Linked DNA regions of Notamacropus eugenii. The protein of the gene in region 2 purifies or fractionates together with the protein of the main gene of each other region. This does not show direct contact. Links are inferred from orthologs where the notes say so. Each region holds a gene or a part of one and is shown on either strand. Other genes may lie near its edges.

Region 1 (10,623 bases), on a different chromosome or scaffold from region 2:
TTTTAACCTCTTGAGATTCTAAAAAGGAATCCTAACAGATTTCATAGGGGAATGGGGAATAAACTCCCAATAACCAAGCATGTAATAAGGAGGAAAAGGCCTTATTTTTTTAATATAGCTATATATAAATATAAGTCTGCATGTATACATTTTATAATAAGCAATGCTGGTTCATTTTTATTCTTCAAAATGAGAAAGGAAAGTTTGTGCGGCCGCAAAATTTTAACACACAAAAATAAATCATCATCATCCTAATGCTAGCATTTATATAGCACTTACTATGTGTCACACATTTTACGACTATTATCTCATTTGATCCTCACAACAACCCTATAAAATAGGTATTATTATTCCCATTTTTACACATGAGGAAACTGAAGCAAATAGAGGTAAAGTGACTTGCCCAGGGTTATGCAGCTAGGAAATGTTGGAAGTCCAATCTCATACACTTAAGAAAAGGATCTAGACCTATAAAGACCAGATATTATAGAAAGCATTATAGCAGTTAAGGTCAAGCCACAATTTCAGGCTTCCTTATCAACCTTTAGCATTCCCAAATCACAGAAAATACCTTTGTATTTTTGGAAAATAAATTAAATGTACAGCTATTAATAAGAGAAAAAAAGGATATAATACATTAGGTAATTTGATATCAGAACACTTTATGAGGCTGAATTTGAGTGGCTGTATTTAAGCAGTTGTATTATAGGGTGGTTAGCAAGGACAGAACTGGAAATAAAAGTCATTATTATGGAAGTAGATAGACACAGATCTTCCCATCATCTGATACCATCATCTGTCACTTGCTCTATGTCATTAAGGGGGTTACATCTAGAGATAGCAACTGAGGAAATGGCAATTGTTGAGGTCCTTTTTCACCATGGGACCATCTTTCCTGCTGTTACCATCACTGTTGAGCTTTCCCATACTTGATACTTCGCCTTCCCTAGCCTCATGGCTAACACATTTCTACCTCTTGCTTCCTCAACCTCTATAATCCAGACTCTCTGTCTGCCAAAGTGAAAACCTCTCTCCCGTCATCTCCACAAGCTCAGCCCTATGATTTCCTTTGCTCTCTCCTATCATACCCTCTGGAATCCCTATTCCATTATTTACAAATTCCTCTTTATCCCCAATATGGTTCTTTTACACTTCTTTGGTGTGCCTGGAAACCTGGATTTCTCTTTAAGATGCTCTATCTCACAGTTACTCTTTGTACAATCCTACTGTTACTATAAATAGTTTTCTTTCTGTTCATTTCACTCATTATTTCATGCAAGTCTTTCCACGTTTTTCTAAAATCAGCTTGCTTATCATTTCTTACATTATAGCAGTATTTCATCACAATCACATACCATAATTTATTTAGCCATCCCCCAACTGATGGGCATCCCCTCAATTTCCAGTTCTTTGCTATCACAAAGATAGCTGCTATAAATATTTTATAGAACATATAGGTTCTTTTCCTTTTTCCATGCTCATCTTGGGAAACAGACCTAATAGTGGTATTGCTGAGTCAAAAGGTATACATAGTTTTATAACTCCTTAGGCATAATGGTTGAATCATATCAAAGTTCCATCAACAGTGTATTAGTGTCCCAATTTTTCCATATATTTCCAACATTTGTCATTTTCTCCTTCTGTTATTTTAGCTGATTTGATAGTTATGAGATGGTATCTCAGTTATTTTGATTTACATTTCTCTAAGCAATAATGATTTAGAGCAATTTTCATATGACTATATATAGTTTTGCTTTCCTCGTCCCCAAAGTGTCTGTTCATATCTTTTGACCACTTATCAATTAGGCAATGACTCATATTCCTATAAATTTGACTAAGTTCTTTGTATATTTGAGATATGAGACCTTTTTCTGAGGAACTGTCTATAAAAATTTCCCCTAATTTTCTGCTTTCTAATCTTGGCTGCACTAGTTTTGTTTGTGCAAAACCTTTTTAATTTAATGTAATCAAAACCATCCAATTAACATCTCAAAATGCTCTCTCGTTTATTCATAAGTTCTTCTATCCATAAATCTGATAGGTAATATGTTCCATGTTCTTCTAATTTACTTATGATATGTAAGAGTAGCTAACTTTTGCAGAGCTGCTAAAAACTTTACCTAGCTTGTCTTATTCCTCACAACCCTTTGAGGTAGGTGCTTACTAATAAGTCAGTAACATGGCAATAATGTCTCCTATTAATTCATTAACTAATTAATTAACCTCCATGAAGTCAAGGACTACGGTTTATTTAAACACTGCATTTCCCTCAGCACCTAGCAAAGTGCTTTGTGTGAAGTAGGTGCTTATCCCCAGCTACTAGTGCCTTCTCTCCCAAAATTACCTTGTATATATTCTGTGTATACTTATATATGCATGTGTTGTCTCCCCTATGAGAATGTACACTCTTTGTATGTAGGGACTAGATCATTTTTGCTGTGTCCTCAGTGCTCAGCACAGTGCCTGGCAAACAGGAGGTGCTTAATAAATACTTTGTAACTAGTTACTTGAAAAATAAACAGTTGTGAAGTTGATCTGAATTAAATCAATAGGAGAGTGCAAAGGTTGCTGACACCTATCTGGTCAGTCAGATTAGAGAGCAAAGAGATTTTTTGATAGACTATTCCTCCCTCTACAAATTTTGGTGTGGTCAAGCCTTTAGACTTGGAAAAGTTCCAACTCATATGTTACTTAAAATATTAATATGTAAAGTGTAGATGGCACAATGGACTGAGTCCTGGCCTGGGAGTTAGGAAGACATGAGTTTAAATCCCGCCTCACGGTTACTAGTTGAAGGCTCTGGGTCACTTTAACCTCTCAGTCTCAGTTTCCACTCACTTGTGGCTCTAAGAAGCTATAGCACATGCAGTAGCCACATCTGTCTGGTCAGACAGGCTAAGTAAGTCAGAAACTCTTCAGTGAGTTGGGGGATATCTACTTCAAGCATATGAAGTTTTCTTTTGGTGGAATGGGTAGATGACAACAATTTGTTCTAAGAATCATGAAGGAAGCTGAAGCAGGCACTGTGGAGCACACAGAGGTTGGTCAGACATCAAAGATACCAAGATGATCCACTACATCCCAGGCCATCATCAGTCTTCTTGACTTTTGTCTTGCCACTGTTATTTCAATAACTCTAGAAGACAGAGTAATGCTGACCATTTTGTGCAACTCTGACTCACTTAAATCCAATTTATGTACCCCATGATGTCACTGGTCCTCTCTGAAAACAAAGTATGAACAACAACATTCATCTGTAAAATGGGGATAATAATAACACTTAAATTACACAGTTCCTGTGATGATTAATTTAAAACATTATCTAAATGTTGGCTATTTTAAATGAGATGTAAAGAAGATGATATGGTATCCTGGACTGAGCAATGGACTAGTGGTTTGACTGTGGACAAATAAGAATTCTGTTCAGCCTTATTTTCTCACCAGAAATAAATGATAATAATAATCCTTACCAGTCTTACAGGGTCAGTGAGGGAAAAGTGTTTTACAAATTACAGACTGCTATATAAACAGAAATGTAAGATTAAATAGCACGTACCTTAAATTCTGCAGGTTTCCAGAAAAAGAGATTGTTTTCAGATTAAGACACAGGACAGAAGAAATGGCACACTTTGTGTTAGATAATCTAAAATATTTATACGTACCAAATTAGTTTCACCTTTCCTCTACTCAGCAAACTATTGCTTCTCAGATAAACAGTTACTGTTGATGTTGAAATCTTCAAATATTTGTGAGGCTCCAGGAACAAGCTTTGGGAGGAGGAATTTGAGTTTATCTTCAGTGATATCTGACATCAAAGGGATGGCAGTAATGAACACATCAGAGGGTTGAGAGAGGAGTATCAAGTGTAAGCCTACACTTGAAATTGGGATGTGAATTCAATATGGAATCATACAAGAGACACCACAAAACAGTAATTATCTTGGGAATATTTATTAATTCTTGAATTCTTAAATACTTGGGAATAATATGTATATATAGCATAAGATCATAATGAATAAAAATATTTCATCCTTCCAGCCTAACCTGCAATAGGGCAAATGTTATTATGGAATCTAAATATGGGAATGGGGGTCAATTTATGCTAAAAAAAAATCAGCTATTTGCCTGGCAAGGTATGCAGAAACTTTCCCTCCAGATGGGATAGAGAGATTTGATGTAGCCTCCAGTCAACTCATGGTCCCTCTGATGGCAGGTTACTCTGTTGTATGCTTTAGGGTCACAGATTTAGAATTGGAAAGGAATTCAAATTTCATCTCATCTAATCTCCTTATTTTTGAGATAAGAATGCTGAAACACAGAGCAATTGTGACACAGAATAACCGAACTAGGATTTGAACCCAGGTCTTTTGATTTCAAATCCAACTTCTTTCCATTTCACTAGACTCCTAAGCCTCGACAATGAACTTAAATGTTAGGGAAGACCTAACTCTATTGATGAGTAGGATCATGAGATTATAGACAGATCTAGCCCTGAAAGAGACCTTTGAGACCATCTATTTAGTCCCACCTCCTTCATTTTACAGTAGCCCATGCTGTCTATCCCAACTCACATTTACACTGAGGAGTCAGATCCCTTAAGTGGTTATCATGATGCCTTCAGGGATCTATGTGTTACCTGAAGGTGTTGGGGGAGGGAATGTCTTTTTAGCACTCTCAGCTCAATCCCCCATTCTGGTGTTCATACTTCCCAGCATGATTATCAATGAGTATCATTTAGTCAATAATCATCAATTAGCTTTCAGAAAGGGTAATTTACTTAGTTCAGTTAATCATAGTTGGTAGAAAGTCATTCAATGACATACTCTCCCAGCAGTACATACAGAGTTCAAGGGAAAATGGACTCAGATGCAGAAAGTACACGTGGCAAAGAGGTAACTCATAACTCCTAGTTACTTGAAGAACTTTTCTTCCATTCCAGGGTACTTAAGAAGTTCTCCTTAAGCATCCTGTCACTTCTTTGCCAAGCTCCTGGTAGAACAGTAAAAATGCCCTCCCTAAATTACACCTTGTTACTAATATCCCACAAGATAGTGTTCAGATATGAATGAGAAGTACAAAATAGTATGGATCCTGGGAAGCTTGCAAGGTCCTCCCTTGGCCAAAATGGGGATCTAGATGGAGGTGAAAGCTGAGGCTTCTCCTTCCTTCCTCTCCCCAGGTCCCTTCTCAAGGGTTTTACTGGAATGTCACACTTGTTCTAATCTTCTCATCTGAACTAGCTTGATAACTTCATAGAGAACTCCTAGGGTGCGATCAGGTTACTTTAACCAATCCAAATAGGATTTCTGGGTACTGTCATTCCAGTTCCAAAGCTATCACATTTAGTCTAAAACCAATTACTAAAATTGAAAGATAGAGAATTGCTTCATCTCTTTAAGATATCGGGATATTGTAACACAGTTTGAGTAGGGTTGAGTGACAATAAACCACCCAGGCCCCACAGACAAATGAGGAAACTGAGGTCCAGAGAAGTGACCTGACTTGTCCCAAGTTGGAGGTCTGGAATGATGGAAATGGGATCCCTGGGTGTTCAGTTCTCCTCATGGTGCAAAAGGAAAGGATAAGAAGAAAAGAACTTACCTACTTCCCAGGGAGATTGGGAGAGTAAAAAGGCACCTGTGTAGCCGTTAATGTGGATGTTTTGAAAAACTAAAAGTGTTACACCAATCGATATCGATATCAAGCTTAGTTATTAAAAAAAAATAAATCATAGTTATTGTAGAACTAGTAATAAAGAGTCACCCCTTGGGCAATGTAACAACAATAATGATTAATAATAATAATAATAATGATACCGATGCCCTCACCCCTGCCATCAGTTTAATTCATTACACATTAGCCATTTTACTATTTATCTGCGCTGAGTACTTTGGGGATAAAATGAGGCAAAAGAGAATCCCTGCTTTCGGAACTTACCTCGGAATGGGGAAAACCACGTGCAAACAAACATACACAAAGCATGCTGCAGGAAATAACGAACAGGGAAGGCCCTGGAATTAAGAGAAGTGAAGGAAGCCTTCCTGTAGGCGGTGGGACTTTAGCTGGGACTTCAAGGAAACCAAGGGGGTCAGTGGTGGGCGCGGAGGAGGGAGAGCGTTCCAGGCCTGGGGGACCCCCGACAGGGGAAAAAAATGTTTTTGGACATTTCCTAGGGCTGGGCTGCGCCTAGGGGGCGGGACGCCGCCGGGCTGGGCTTCTCTCGCCTCGGGGGCGCCCACCAGCAGAGGGCGCTGTTTCCGCCTTCCTCTCTCGGGAGAGGCACGCGCCTCTGCTGGGGGTTTCTCTCTTTCTCTCCTCTGTCTCTCTCTCTCTCTCCCTCTCCCTCTCCCCCCCGCCCCCACCCCCTCGCGCTCGCTCGCCTTCGGCCTCACATCCGGGTCTGGCGCTGCCGCCGCCGCTGCGGCCGCTGTCAGTGTTAGTGCGGGCACGTCCGTGGTGGGGCCGGAGCGCAGTAAATGGCGGCGGAGGGAGGCGGAGCGGCAGCCGCGCTCAGCCAGGCGCCCCTGAAACTTTAGCTTAAAAGCCCCACAACTTTCCCCGGGGCGCAGCCGCTCTTCGCGGGGGTTGACCCCGAAAGGGTGGGCGGAAGAGGAAGCTAGGCGGGAAGTCGAGTGGGGAGCAGGGGGGAGGGTGGTAGAGGGGGCGGCTCGAACCCGCGGCGAAGGCGTAGGCTAGGAGAGGTCTCCTTCGCCTGGCGGCGCCGCGGTGGGTGCCGGAGCCCGAGCCCGAGCCTGGGCCTTGCGCCTCCGGGCCGGCTCCGGATCGGGGCGAGCGGGAGCCTCTCCTTCGGAAGGTGCGGGCGCCGGCGGCGGCACGCGGAGCCTCCTGCGCTTCTCCAGCTCTTCTCCAGCCCTGTTGCTTGTGTCCCGGCCGCCGGCGGCGGGGAGAGGGGAGGGGAAGACCGGGGCTCGGGCCGGAGCGGACCCGCTGTGCGTGCGTGCCTGCGAGCCGGGCTAGGGCGGCGGGCTAGGGGCGCTGCCTGGCGCACGGCCCACGCTCCGTCTCCCCGCGACCGAGTTCGAGGGGCTCGGAGGCAAGCCGGGCCCGAGGCCCCGCCGCCCAGGGGTCGCGGGGCGGGGCGGCGGCGAGGAGCGAGGGAGGGGGTGGGGCGGGGAAGAAGATGGAGGGATTAACGCTGAGCGATGCGGAGCAGAAATACTACTCCGACCTCTTCTCCTACTGCGACATCGAGAGCACCAAGAAGGTCGCGTCCAACGGGAGGGTGGTGGAGCTGTTCCGGGCCGCGCAACTCCCCAACGAGGTGGTCTTACAGGTAAGTGCGCCCTCTCCCTTCCCCCAAGCGATCCTCCTGGCTTGGCGTCGGCCAGGCCCGGGTGGGTGTCCGGGCAGGCCCCTGCCCTTCTGGAGCGCCGGCTCCGCTACCTGCCTGCCTGCCGCAGGCCGGAGGAAAACGACCCCGCATCGACGGAAGGGCTGGGCATCGGCCGATTGAATGTTTCTAGCTCCCAGCCGGGGAAGGGGGCAGCAGGTGCCTGTGGGTGGTGTCAGACTTTTAAGTGAGCAAAAGAAAGAGGTAAAGGCTAGTTTCATAGGAATAGTTGAGGAGCAGCAGAACAGTCTTATAAAACTTTGAAGTTTTCAAGTTATAGTATCCACTTGGGTATTATCTGTGTACATATTTTGCCCCTATTTAGCTTGCCGCAGACAGGGACGCCTTGATTTTTGGCGTGGACCTACGTGGACCTACGTCCAGCCCAGTGAGTGCCTGGTACCTACTGTGTGCTCAAATACTGGAGTCAAATTGATTTATAACTTTCTGTATACTCTGCTCTGCCCGTGAAAGAATTTCAATAGAAAGACTTGTATAGTTATAATTTTGGATACAAAATGTTGGGTAGCTGGGAGAACAGAGAATTAAAGTTCTCCGAACAGGTAGAAACTTAAAATTCTACTCTTGCCCCGCTCCCATCCCTTTCTTTTCCTAGTAAAAGGCCCTTGGAGAAGTGAAAGAAAACTAAATCAGTTTATATTTTGCATACAAATGTGAAATGAAAAACTTTTAATTATTAGTGGGATTTTGCTCTTGAATGAACCCTATAAAGTAGGGTAACATTTGAACCCCTCGGATTTTAAAATGTTTTTTCTCCTCTCTAGACTGTGGACATTTGACTCATCCTAAAAATAGTTGCAAAATAGACACTGATTTTAAAAGCTGTTCTTTTTATCTCCTAGCCTTTAAGAAAAAGAAGTGTTCTGTTTGTAATGTGTTTTAATGTTTAATATAATATCTATTTAAGAAGCAGCAAGAAAGATCTTGCCTAAACAGGATATCTTTAATAGGTCCTTTCACTTTTAACATAGTGATTTAAGCCTCTTATTTGAATCACCAAGACTTAGATCAATGCATACACTTCCATAGTAAAGGAGCAAATGTACTGGCCTAGGAATGTGAAACTGTGGCTTTCAGTTCCATCACTTCGTCATTTAATCTCTTTGAGTTTTGATTTCTTAAGTTGTAAAATGGGAATTTAAGTACATTAGACATTCCCATCTTCAAAATTCTTTTAATCTATGAAAATATACAGAAACATAGGAAATTGTAGCATCTCTGGAGGTATAACAACTCATATCTTCTGTAAGCTATATCTCTCTGGAATGAGTACTATCTGTTTATCTTGTATATGTTAAATTGCTTCATTTAACCTTGAAGCAAAAAGTTTAGTGTCCTATGTATCAGATTTGGATGACCGCTAGAAATTGCAGGCTTCTCTTAGTAGATGAAGTTGCCTTACTGTTTTGTTAAAAGTATAATACTGAACCGTGATCGTGTCTGAGCAGTTCATTAAAGGTATGCTTCTTTTTATAGAAATTAGCATGTTATTTTAGGGAATTTCTTGTATTATTTTGGAACTAAAACTAGGGTAGGAATTCTTAACATAAAAAAACTTTTTTTTTAAATCATTAAGGCCTTTGGACCCTTTCTTAAAAGAGTGATTTTAATTTTAGATGCATAAAATAAAGTTCATAGAATTGCAAAGGAAATGAATTATATCAAAGTACAGTTAAAAGTACATAAAATTACAAAGGAATCCAATTATATTGAAATAATTATCAAAATCTCGAAAAAAACTCATCCCTCACGTTAAGAATATTCTCGTTTTAGACTATATTGGAAAGGAAAACTGATGATAAATTTCTAGTCTGAGGGGACTCGGGGACAATCTGGGTTCTCAGATTTAGGATATGTTGATAGGTACAATGAATTAATTACTCCTTTTTCTTAAAATTTGTTAGATCTACACATATTATTCTAAAATTTCACTATTATGAAACATATCTAATTCGATTGCCCTACTGTGTGTTAGACTGTGGAAATACAAAAAAAATGAATTCATTGAATATCATCGAATTGAGATTTGAAGGGCGCTAGGGATTCCAAGAGTCAGAGTGGAAATGTTTGTAACATGGAGCGATTCAGCCTGTGCAAAAGTCTGGAGGTGGGAGATGGAATGCTAAGTTATGAAATTGTCCTAGTTTGGCCAGAACATAGAGTGCATGGAGAATAATGTGAAATCCATCCTGATGGCTTGTTTTCAAGCCAGATTTTGAAGGGCCTTAAATGCCAAACTGAGAAGCTTATCTTTTATCCTAGAAATAGTAGAGAATTACTAAGGCCTCTTGTGAACAGCTAGGTGGCACAGGTGACAAAGCAGATAGAATGGACCTAGAATCAAGACTCTCTTCCATAGTTCAAATGTGACCTAATACACTTAATTAGCTTCATTGACCCTGGACTAGTAATGTAACTGTTTGCCTCCCTTGCTTCATTTTCCTCATCCGTAAAATGAGCTGGAGAATGAAATGGCAAACCACTCCAGTACCTTTGCCAAGAAAACTCCAAATGGGGTCATGAAGTCAGACACAACTGAAAAACTAACAATGCTCCTTGAGCAAATGAGTGATGCGGTCAGATCTGTGCCTTAAGAAGATAAATTTGTCAGCTTTGTGAAGGACTATGGACTGGAGAAAGGAGAAACTCATGCAGGTGACCAGTTAGGAGGCTGTTGCATTTGTCCAGGAGAAAAGACTAGGTAGTGGCTGGCTACATGAATGGAGAGACAGTATGGAGAGATGTTTTGCACGGGTTGGATTGACAGTACTTGGTAACTGATTGGAAAAAGAGTGGTGGAAAGAATAGTAAGAAGCCCTCAACCGAAATAGAAAGATAGGAGAAGGCATTGGGGGTGGGGGGGTAAAGTGGAGTTGAACTCAGTTTTAGAAATGTTGTCTTTGAGATACCTTGAGACATCCTAATGGAAGTGTCCAGCAGGTGTTTCAAAACCACTGCTCAGAAAAAAGATGGTCTAGATATGTACATTTTGCAGTTATCTTTCTAAATAGAGTCATAAACCAATGGCAGCTGTTGAAATTACCAAACTAGAGAGTGTAGAAAAAGAAGAGAGGTCAGGATAGAGTTCTGGGGCATGCCCACACATAGGAGATGTGGATGGAATTACCTTAGTAAAGGAGACTAAGAGGAAAGGGTCAGACAGATGGGAAGAAAGTCAGGAGAGATCACAATAATCTGGGGAAGAGAGACTATCCACAAGAACATTGTGGTAGAAAGTATTAAATGCTGGT
Region 2 (10,682 bases):
ATTGTGGACTTAGAACCAATTAGTCAAGACTTGATACGGTTACCAAAAATGCTAATGCAATCTTACATCAAATTAACAGCAATGAGTTCACAATGAGTTAGGCTATATAGCCTGATGTAATCTGTCCTAACTGAACCACATTCAGAGATTCAGAGGACTGCTTGGTTCGAGGCACCACATTTTAAGAAACGAGCACAACTAGTTCAAAGGACGATGAACTGCATAACAAAGAGACTGGAAACCTTCCCACAGCACAGGTGATGGAAGGAACTGAGGAAGTTTAGCCTAGATAAGAAAATACTTCAGAGGGACATAACTGTTGTCTTAAAGTCCCTAAAGGGGTGACTATGTAGAAGAGAGATTAGACTTGGTTTTGCTTCCTTCAACAGAAATTTAAACGACTACTCGGTAAAGATCCCTGTGCAGCTCGTCACTGGGAGAGAAAAGAAGTTGAAATGGGACTCAGGCAAGGAAAAATTTAACAACTTAGAGCTGCCCAAAAAGTGGAATGGCCTGTTCAGGGATCTAGTGAATTTTTCACCTTCCAGAAGCGGCTGAAAGATCATTTCGTCCAGAATGTTGTAGGTGACATTCTGGTTCAGTTAAGAGCTGGTCAGGATCTCTCTAAGAGTCATTTCCACTCTTGAGATTCTACTATTCCACATGTCAGTTTAGCCACAATGTACTTGGCATATGCTATCAGAGGACTCTTTGAGGTATTCTCTGATCCCAGCCCTGCTACTTAACTTACTTGTGCAATTTTGGGCAATTCATTTGACCTCCCATGGTCTCTCATTTCTTCATGTGTAAAATGAAGGCACTGTACCAAATGAGAGGTTCTTAACCTGGGACCCATGAACTTATTTCTTAAATAATTTGATAACCATACTTCAAAATAATCCGTTTCTTTTATAATCCTATGTATTTTGTACAATTAAAAGCTTTATGCTAAAGGTTTGCAGGTTGACAAAGGGATTCATGGCATATAAAAAGTTAATTCCCAGACTACAGAGCCTTGAAAGGCTCTTTCAGCTCTAAAGTCTAGAAAGGTCTATTAGGGCTAATCCTAAAGGTTAAAGTGACTTAATCATTTTTGTCACCCTTTGAGAAATGAAGGAAACTAGGAAAGGGAATGGCCAAAGGGGTCTCTCCTAGGAAGACATCTTTGGAGAAGAGTCTTTAAGATCTAATTCCAGGAGCCTCAGGTACTGACCAGAGTAGAGGCCAGCAGGTGCCCTTCCCCCACAGACCCTGCAGTCTTCAACCTTTCTGCCTGACACTGGCTTCCCCTCCAACCAGAATCCAATTTCTACCCCAAGACTACCAGATACATATCTTATGAGTGATTTTTTTTTTTTGGCTGGGGAGCATAATTTGTGTCACTTTCTTGGCATTCAGTGATTTCTTTCCACAATACCCATCCTTTTGAGGCCCTGGAAGGTTTCTTCATGCTTTCTATATAATTTCTACTCCTAGTTATGAATATCCTGACAAAAATGTTATTGTATTATAAAAGATTACATATGGCACTCTACCAGCAAAATTTATTGTGGCTGAAAAATATTCCTTAATGGTTGTACTATTCTAATTCTACGTTTACATTTTAATTTACTCTCTGAAACTAAATAGAAAAAAGGCCCCTGAAATGACTCATGACTACTAAAATCTACAAACTTTCAGACTAATTTAACATTAGAACTTTAACAATCTGAGAAAACATCTCAGCTAGACATAACTTCAATTATTTAAGGCAGCACTTTAAAGAAAAAAGATGTTCATAGCAATACCTAAAATTAAACAGAGTTTGGTAAACTTAAAAAAGAATGAATTTGGCTAGCTCATCAAAAACTTTTTGGGGAAAAGCGGGAAACTGGAATTTTTTTGGTTTTGAGGCCAAGACCTCCTGCTCCTCCACCAAATATATTTCTTTTAGTTGTTATCTCTCTATTCAACTAGACAACTTATAATTTTAATCATTCACAAAACCATTCCACTTTTATCTCACTTTGATTTTAAATATTCAAATTCGTGAAGTTTCTCCTACACTATTAATCTGCTCATTGTTCAAGGTATTTGAAAACATACTAAGAAATGATGCATCTTAGAATTATTATTTTCAAAATACATACTTTTCTAAAACATTTATGGAAATGAAATACATCATACCTACTCTGCTCAATAATTGTTTTTCATTTTGGTTCTAAAAGAAGTATTTGCTATCACAAATAAATATATTTAGTTCTTCAGAATCTCAAACTCTCAATTTTAATACTGTTGTTCAGTCCTGTCTGATTCTTCATGACCCCATTTTTGGGTTTCCTTGACAAAGGCATCGGAGTAGTTAGCCATTTCCTTCTCCAGCTCATTTTACCGAGGAGGAAACTGAAGCAAACAGGGTTAAGTGACTTTCTCCAGGTCAGAGGGCTAGGAAGTGCCTAAGGCCAGATTTGAACAACTGAAGTTCAGTCTAAAGGGCTCCAGGCAAGGCTCTCAATCCACTACGCCACCTAGCAGCTCGAATTTGAATACTCCATTGATTTAAAACAACATTTAGCACAATACCAAACAACAAACCAACCTGCAGGGGCCGGGGAAAACAGGAATTAGCAACACAACAGAAAGTTTTCGGTAGTTACAGAGGTCTAGTCAATTACAAAACCGTAAAGCCGGGGATCTACAATCTCTTGAATGAATGAAATGGGTGTCGTGGCCAACGTGTGGAAAGTCTAAACTGATCTTTAAAATCTACTCTGCACATCGCTTTCACAGTCATTTACAATAATGAGAATACTGGGCAAAACGCTTATTCAGTTAAGGAAAACTCTAACCCGCTTTTCCATAACATCCTTTAAGAGCTACTAAGAAGCCAGCTTTACAAGCGTGACCATAATGGTGCGTCCCACGAAAGACTCACTTGAAAACCGCACTCAAGGCACGTGCTTCGTGCAATTTTTCAGGGGGAAGAAAACTTTTGTGCCAAGAGGTTCTTTGGCGCTATCGCTGAATGTCTGGGGTCAGCGGATGACATCCCTCCTCCATTTCTGCAGGAGATGGACTGGACCAAGTTCCAGCGCGACCCCGGGACGCAGACTAGCTGCTAGAGCACGCCTTTGCACGGTTTGGTTGCAATCAGCGTGGCTAGGGGCTGCCTGGGGGGTGGCGGAGTCGGAGGACCTGGGTTCAAAGCCCACCTGCCCTGCCCCTTTCCCTCTTCCGACCTTCTTTCACCCTCATCCCGTATATAAGGTGCAGGCACATAGTCGTCTGCATGTTTCTCGCCCCGTTACCCGGTGCTTTGACCTCTCTAGGTACTCCCCGGGCTGGGTGCCTGGGCTGGGCGGGTGGGAAGGAAGCCCGCGTCCTAAGGCTGACCGTGAGCTCCGGGAGGGCAAGGGACCGTCTTAACCCGGGGCAAGGCACACAGTAGGCTCTTAATGCGTGCGGTAAGACTTGAGCGGCAGCACCCAGCCCGGTCGCAGGGAGCGCCCCGACGCCGCGCCCCGGCCCGCCCTGGCCCTCGCGCCCCGGGTACCTTCGGCTAGCTGCTCCTCCAGGGTGACCTGGTAGCGGCCCACGGCAAACACGCGGACTCCCACGGAGGAGGCTCCGGAGCCGGCTCCGGCCCCGCCGCCGCCCGAGCAGCCTGGGCCGCCCCCTCCGCCCGCCCCGCCGCCGCTGCCCTCCGACTTGGGCATCCTGGAGAACTTCTTCATGGTGTCGCGGGAGAGGCCCCCGCGGCCCCGGGAGGCGCAGTCCTCGGGCACCGGCCGCCTCACATCCCGCGCGAGCGCGCGGGGACACCGAGGCCCGCGGCTCGAGGGCCCCCCGCTGCCCCGCGCGGCGAGCGGGCTCCGGGGGGGCCTAAGCTCCGAGGACAGCGGGGAGGTGGGGAAGGAGGGAGCCGGGCGAGAGCCGCGGGGCTGAGGCGCTGCAGCCGGGGGTGTCGGCGGGCCCGGGCTGCGCGCCCGCCCGCCTGCCTGGCCGCCCGCCGGGGATGTGCCGTCGGCGGCCGCTGCGCCGGGACTAACTGCTCCGAGCGGAGCTCCGCGCACGCGCAGCCGCGAGCGCCCCTCCGCCGGAAGTGACGCCCCGCCTCCGCGTCACGTGGCGCGGCGGGGGCGGGGCGCAGGCGGCAGAGAGGAGGGAAGGTGGCCCGGGGCGTCTCGGGCTCCGCGGAGGACCCGAGGTTTGAGCCGGCGGCTGCGAAGGGCCCCGCCCCCGTCATCCTACAGCTGAGGAAACTGAGGCCCGAGGGCCCCCGCAGCTCGGCTCCGAGCTTGGGCTGGTGGGGGGGCGGGGCCGCTCTCTGCCCGTGGCGAGGTGCCGGCCACCTAGTAGGTGCCCCAGAAATGCCGCTTGACTGACTGAGGACCTCTCCTCGTCTCTGCCTCCGCCCGTGCCTTCCTCAGGGGTCACCCATCCGCCCTCCGATGCCCGGGGGCAGCCAGGTGGGGCCTGCACTCCCGAGATCGGATCCGGCCTCCGCCACCGGGGAGCCGAGTGACCCTGGCCAGGTCACCTCACCCTCTGTGCCTCAGTTTCTCCATCTGTGAAACGAGCTGGGGAAGAAAACGCCAAACCCTTCCCGTATCTCCGCCAAGAAAACCCCCCAAATGGAAAGGGGGTCCACGCTGAAGAAAACGCCCTGTTTACTAGACTAGGGAATTTTACTGTGAGAGATGCTTCAGAAGTAAATCTAAACCTCCGTATTAAAATCCTGTATTTCGCGTGTCGGAGGCTGAACCTTAGGTCTTCCTGGATCTGAGGCTGCTGTCCTTTGTGGCAGTTTGCTTTGAAGAGCTTACCTGATGGTTGGGAATAAGAGAATTCCCTGCTGTATAACCTGAGGCAAGTCTCTGCCTCTCTGTCCAGCAGTTTTCTCATCTGGAAATAATCGTGAATTATGTATTAAGCTGCTAGCTTTCATTCTTTGTGTTTCCGACTTCGAGCAGTGACTGACCCATAGCAGGTGCTTGTGGATAGTTCGTATTTTTATAGCCCTTGAAGGTCTTACAAAATGCTTTAGCTTATTTGATCCTCACAATCTTACTTTCAGGTGTCTAGGTAGGAATTACAGGCAACCTTATCTTCCATTTACAAAAAAGGAAACAAGTCCAGACAGCTTCAATGGTATTGATCACAATCTGACAGTCTGTAAAGGACAGATCAGATTAGAACTCTAGCTGCTGCTACTGCAGCTAAAGGAATTGGACTAAATCATCTCTGAAGTCCTATCAAGCTATAAATTTATATGTGGTAAGTTCCATTAAGTAGAGAAAAATTTTATAAGAGTTGGGAGGAGGGAGACATCAACAGGGATTTCTCAGAAATGAGATTTGAATAAGACTTGGAAGGATGGGTGAGATTTTAGTAGGTAAGAGAAAAGAGCATTCATTTCAAGGAGTGGTTTAGAGGGTGTGAAGGTGTTTAGAACCACTACTTCAGTACCTCTTATTCTAAGTATTTTTGGGATATATCTGATCACGACATATTAATTCATGTTATCTTCTACCATCAATTTTCCAAAACTGTTGTTTTATTTCATTTTTTGATTTGACAAAATAATCTGATGATACGAGTTTAGGAGCATAGATCCAGAACTTGAAGAAATGCCAGAAGTCAGCAACCCCGTTATTTTACAGAGGAAGAAAAATGAGAGAGAGAGAGAGAGAGAGAGAGAGAGAGAGAGAGAGAGAGAGAGAGAGAGAGAGCCCGAGGTCACATAGACAACAAATAAAAGAGTGCAGATTCTGTACACAGGTGTTCTGATTCCAAATCCAGTGGCATAGCAGCACACTCAACCAATCCACCAATCAACAAGCATTTATTTAATGCAAGTTAAGTGTCAAACTTCTGGGCTGATGGGAAATACAAATACAAAAATGGGAATGATCACTCTGCTAAGAAGTTTGCTTTCCATCCAGGAAGACATACACGTATAGAAGGAAATACCCCATGCTGAATAAATACAAGTTGGTCAGGTAAAGAGGGGTATTTCTTAGGCTCTTGGGGAGATTCATGTGGAAGGTGATGCTTTGTTGTGATAGAAAGAAGTGACAGATCCTATGGTAGAAATGAGGAGGTAGCTTCCCAGGGTGTGGGGAGCAACCAGCACAAAAGTACAGACTCAGAAATGGAGTACCATGTGTGGGGAACATAGAGAAAGGCAGTTTGAACTAAAATAGATCATACAGTATGGGAAAAAGAATAACATTAGTTACAGGTTGTGAAGAGCTTTAAAAGCCAAAAAGTTTATATTTTAAAATATTTGATATTTTAAAAGTTTATAGATAAGTTTCTATTTCATTCTGGAGGGTGTAAATAACTCCTGAAGTTTATTTAGTAGGGGAATCACATGGTCAGATCACCACTTGATGATGAATTAAAGCCTTAAACCATAAGTAGTACCAAGTAAAAAACTCTTCAGTTTTCCCATAGTTAAGTAATAATTTTTATAAGCTCTTATCATACTGATTGTTGAACTACTACAGCATTGCTGTAACAATCAGTTTCAACCATCTCATTACTATAAGATCATACATTTATATGGTTGGCTGGTTTTACTACCAAAGAACTTTGACATTTATTATCACATTTTATTATCTGCACATCCTGGAAAGCTGGGTAGAGGTAGGTATTTGCCCATCACCTAATTTATAGGTCAGAAAATTGAGAAACAGAAGTGAGATTAAGTATTCACTAGTAAGGTAAAAAATCTAGTTTATGGAAGAATATTGTCTTGATGACTATGAGAAAACAGTCTATATAAATTCTAGTTAATATTGTGACGTGAAAGGACACTCCAGGGAGCCTAGCTCTCCATTACATAATTTAATGATGATCAAAAAGGGGAACCAGAGGTTTTTGAAAAGGACCAAGAAATCCAACGAGAAACATTAATGAGCTTCATGCAACCTGGGACTACACAAAAAGGCAGTAAAAAGCCACAGCACTGGAAGAGAGGGACCTCCAGGAAAACCAGCATGGGCTCAGGTGAACAGACCAGCCAGACCAGGCACTGACCAGGAATTCTGAAGGTTGCAAACGCTTAGAACCCAAACATGAAGGGAAGATAAAAGCCAGCGACTGGACACCTGAAAATCAAGGTTAGGATGTCATCCTTGTATCTAAAAGTTCTGGAGGGAAAGGAACCTGATCCAGGTTCAGTCTCAATCAGGAACTGAGACTGGAGATAGGAATAAATACAGCACAACCCATAATATAAAGAACCTATGGATCGAGATACCCAATAGGAAAACTCGGAACAAGAGCGTATTTCCAATACAAGCATAAGCAGACTAGAGGGAAATGGCTTGGTCAGTACAAGAGTACCTAGAGGAAATGAAACAAGAAGGAAAAAATGAAATAAAACCTCTGGAGAAAAAAATAAATAAATAGCTTAGGTGGTAAACCTTACCCAGATGGTAGAATCTTTGAAAATCAGTAGGGATCACATAGACCTTAGTGAGACAACAAAAATAATTGAAATAAAATGAAAATGTTTGTGGGGTTTTGGTTTGTTTTTTTTTTAAGAGAAGAAAATGTAAGATATATACTCTGCAAAACAACTGACCTGGACAATGAGTTGAAGACAGATTTAGAATCACCAGACTATCCGAAAACTATGCCCAAAAAATGAGGGAAGGAGGGGAATGGGCACTGGAAGGCCCATTTTAAGAAGGCATAAAGACTGCTCAGATTTCGGGGGGAAGGGGAGATCAGCAAATGAAAATAGAAAGAATACACAGATCACCTGCTAAAAGAAAACCCAAAATAAAAATCCCCAGGAAAGCCATAGCCAAAATACAAACTTTTTGGTCAAAGTAAAAATAATGCAAGTAGGAAGAAAGAAATCATTTAAGCTGAAAAGAAACTATGAAATGCCAACACAACAGAAGAAATCTAGAGTGCAAATCCATTTGAGCAATTAGACAATTAATTGATGAAGTACTTACATTTTAATAGAGGAGAAGAGACAAATGGCATCTTCAAGGCCACAGAAGGAATTAAATAAGACAAAGGGAATGATGTGGCTTTGTTCCTCCTCAAAAGTATGGGTTTTTAGAGATATGAGAGAACATGCCTAATGCGCTCCTTCCTGGAGGTGGGAGGTCCACAGGTTTTGCATATTGTATATGTTACAATCAGTTATACTGATTTTTTTCCCTCTTTTTAATTTTCTTTATTTTAGTTTTTAAAATACTATTTGTTATATGGAATGATTGTCTTGGGGAGAGGAAGATTACTAGGGAAGAGTATGGTATGTAAGAAACAAAACTTGCCACGATACTGAAGAATATTAAATGCTTAAATTTTTAACGTTAAAAAAAGAAAGTAGGGATTATTTCATTCTTTGTATTTCTATCACCTGAGCTTAGCAAAGTGCCTGGCACATAGTCTGACTTTAATAAATGCTTCTTGATTAAAAGAGGAAAGAAAAAGGATAAAGGAATACTATGAGGAAAAAAAGAGGAAAAAGGAAGTGAAATATATTTATCTCATAAATGGGATACATGAAAAGGGTTTACAAAGTAAAGGAGTTAAGGAATTGGCATTTCATGAAATTCATTTTTATCTTGAACTGTACAAAGGTGAATTACAGAAATACACACATGTATACAGAGTTTAATATAGCAATATATTAAACCAAACAAGGAAAGAGACGGGATCAGGATATGGGAGAGAAGGTTTTAAGAAAAGAGGAAAAAATAGTCTCAAGCAAAACAAACTTCAAACATCAAAGAGGGGATGGAAAAGAAGCAGTATTTGGGGGCAAGAAAAAGGAAGAACAGTCAAATGAAAGTTCATTCCAGCTACAGATCACTAATGTTAATCATATCCCTTCTCTTTCATCATCCACTTTGTAAAAAAAAAAAGGGGGGGGGGGCTAGGACCAAAGAGAGGGAAAAATGTAAAAGAATTCACAGTTATCAGTGATAACCATGAATGTAAATGGGATGAACTTATCTATAAAATGGGAGAGGATAGCAAAATGGATTAGAAAGATGGATCCAACAATATGTTGAGGGGTTTTTTTTTAAGGTACTTGAAACAAATGACAGAAATGAAACAAAATCCCCAAAATCTTTGCGATACAGTCAATATTTTTCTGGGGGGGGGGAATTTACATCAATTAAGACTTACACAAATAAAACAGAGAAAGAAGAGATCCCAGAATTGTGCATGCAACAACAACAGAAAAAAAAAAACACTAGAAAAGCAACAAATCAAAATCAAATCAACACTCCAACTCAATAGAGAAATGGAAATTCTGAAGCTCAAAGAAGAAATTAACAAAAAAAAATGAACTGATAAAGATTTGCTAATGTGATAAATGAGATGATAGTGATGACCAAAAGTAAAACTGTCAAGAAAGGAAAGAGCATCAGTGAAACATTTAAAAATTCCAAGAGAGCAAAAAGAAGTTCGGAGGGAAACAGAAAAGCAGAATGATTTTAGAATTTGTTATATACTTTAAAAAAATCTGTATGTAATAGAGATTTTAGTTTTATGTACAATACTCCCTTTCTGCTCATTGTATACAGAAGTGATTTTTTGTGAAAGTTCATAATTATAAAAGATAAAATTAAAAGGAACTCAAGATATACCTCAAGTCCAATGTCTGTTATTTTGAAACAAAATAATAGCCAACATATTTTCAGATGGCAGCTACATTGTTTTTACATTCCTATTTATGACTTTTGTTTTTGTTCACTTTTTTCAGTCATGTCCGACTCTTCATCATCACATTTTTGGGGTTATCTTGGCAAAGATACTATAGTGGTTTGCCATTTTCTTCATGAGCTCATTTTACAAATGAGGAAACTGAGGCAAACAGGGTTAAGAGACTTGTCCAGAGTCACACAGCCAGCAAATATCTAAGTCTAGATTTGAACTCAGGAACACCAGTCTTTCTGACCAAACCTGGTCCTCTATATCCACTGCACCACTAGCTGCTCCTATGTGTGACTATGTGACAATAAGCAATCATCTAGATTTTCTTGGCTTCTAAATGATTACCTGATAAACAGTCGGTCTTGTTATGGAGAGGAGATTCCACTAATCAGATGAGTTTGATTTTCTTTTTAAGTCAAACCAATTTTTGCCATGTGCACGTAGCTACAGCCAAAGACTTTCTGGCCATTCAGAGGTGACAGTACAACACCATAAGGAATAAATAGATGGCCTTGTATCCAGAAGGAGAAAGAAAGAAAAGCAATATATGTGAAATGTGGCCCATTTGTAAAATTAGTTTTGCATGTCAAATAATGATATAAGCAAAGAAAACATTCTTTATCAGTCACCTGTCCCTTCAGCTGTTGGGACTGAAGGCAAGAAATTCTTCTGAGGGTGATTACAGCCAGAGAGCTGTTGCCCAAAGTAAAGTTATAACTTACATATCCAAATAGGTGTTGTGTCTCATGATGGCAGAGAATCCTGCCATTGATAATCGATCTGTGGAATTGAGGTTATAGGAACTCAGAGAATTCTGCCATAAAGGATGAAACTATGCCTCAAATGGGTGAAATCTTCTGTGGTTTCTGATTATTTATAGTGTCATTATTATCCATCAGGAGTCATTAGCATGATCGAATACTAAAACCATGAGTATACATGTATATTACATGTCTCTGTGTGATTGGCATTTAATTGTCCATGCCATAAAGTTGATTGTATGCATG

The links.
Region 1: the proteins of BMP2K (region 2) and REPS1 purify together in Homo sapiens (affinity purification with mass spectrometry; 3 studies listed by BioGRID and IntAct, counting the BioPlex papers as one, with this or other methods). This does not show direct contact. The link is inferred for Notamacropus eugenii from reciprocal best matches to the Homo sapiens genes BMP2K and REPS1.

Annotation. Positions count from the first base shown.
Region 1 is NC_092873.1:225,491,435-225,502,057, reverse strand, and holds the start of REPS1 (ralBP1-associated Eps domain-containing protein 1), read left to right. Parts: upstream 1-6,685; 5' UTR 6,686-7,141; coding exon 7,142-7,294; intron 7,295-10,623. UniProt on the Homo sapiens protein: May coordinate the cellular actions of activated EGF receptors and Ral-GTPases.
Region 2 is NC_092878.1:147,829,624-147,840,305, forward strand, and holds the start of BMP2K (BMP-2-inducible protein kinase), read right to left. Parts: upstream 4,007-10,682; 5' UTR 3,714-4,006; coding exon 3,533-3,713; intron 3,524-3,532; exon of another isoform or gene 1-3,523. UniProt on the Homo sapiens protein: May be involved in osteoblast differentiation.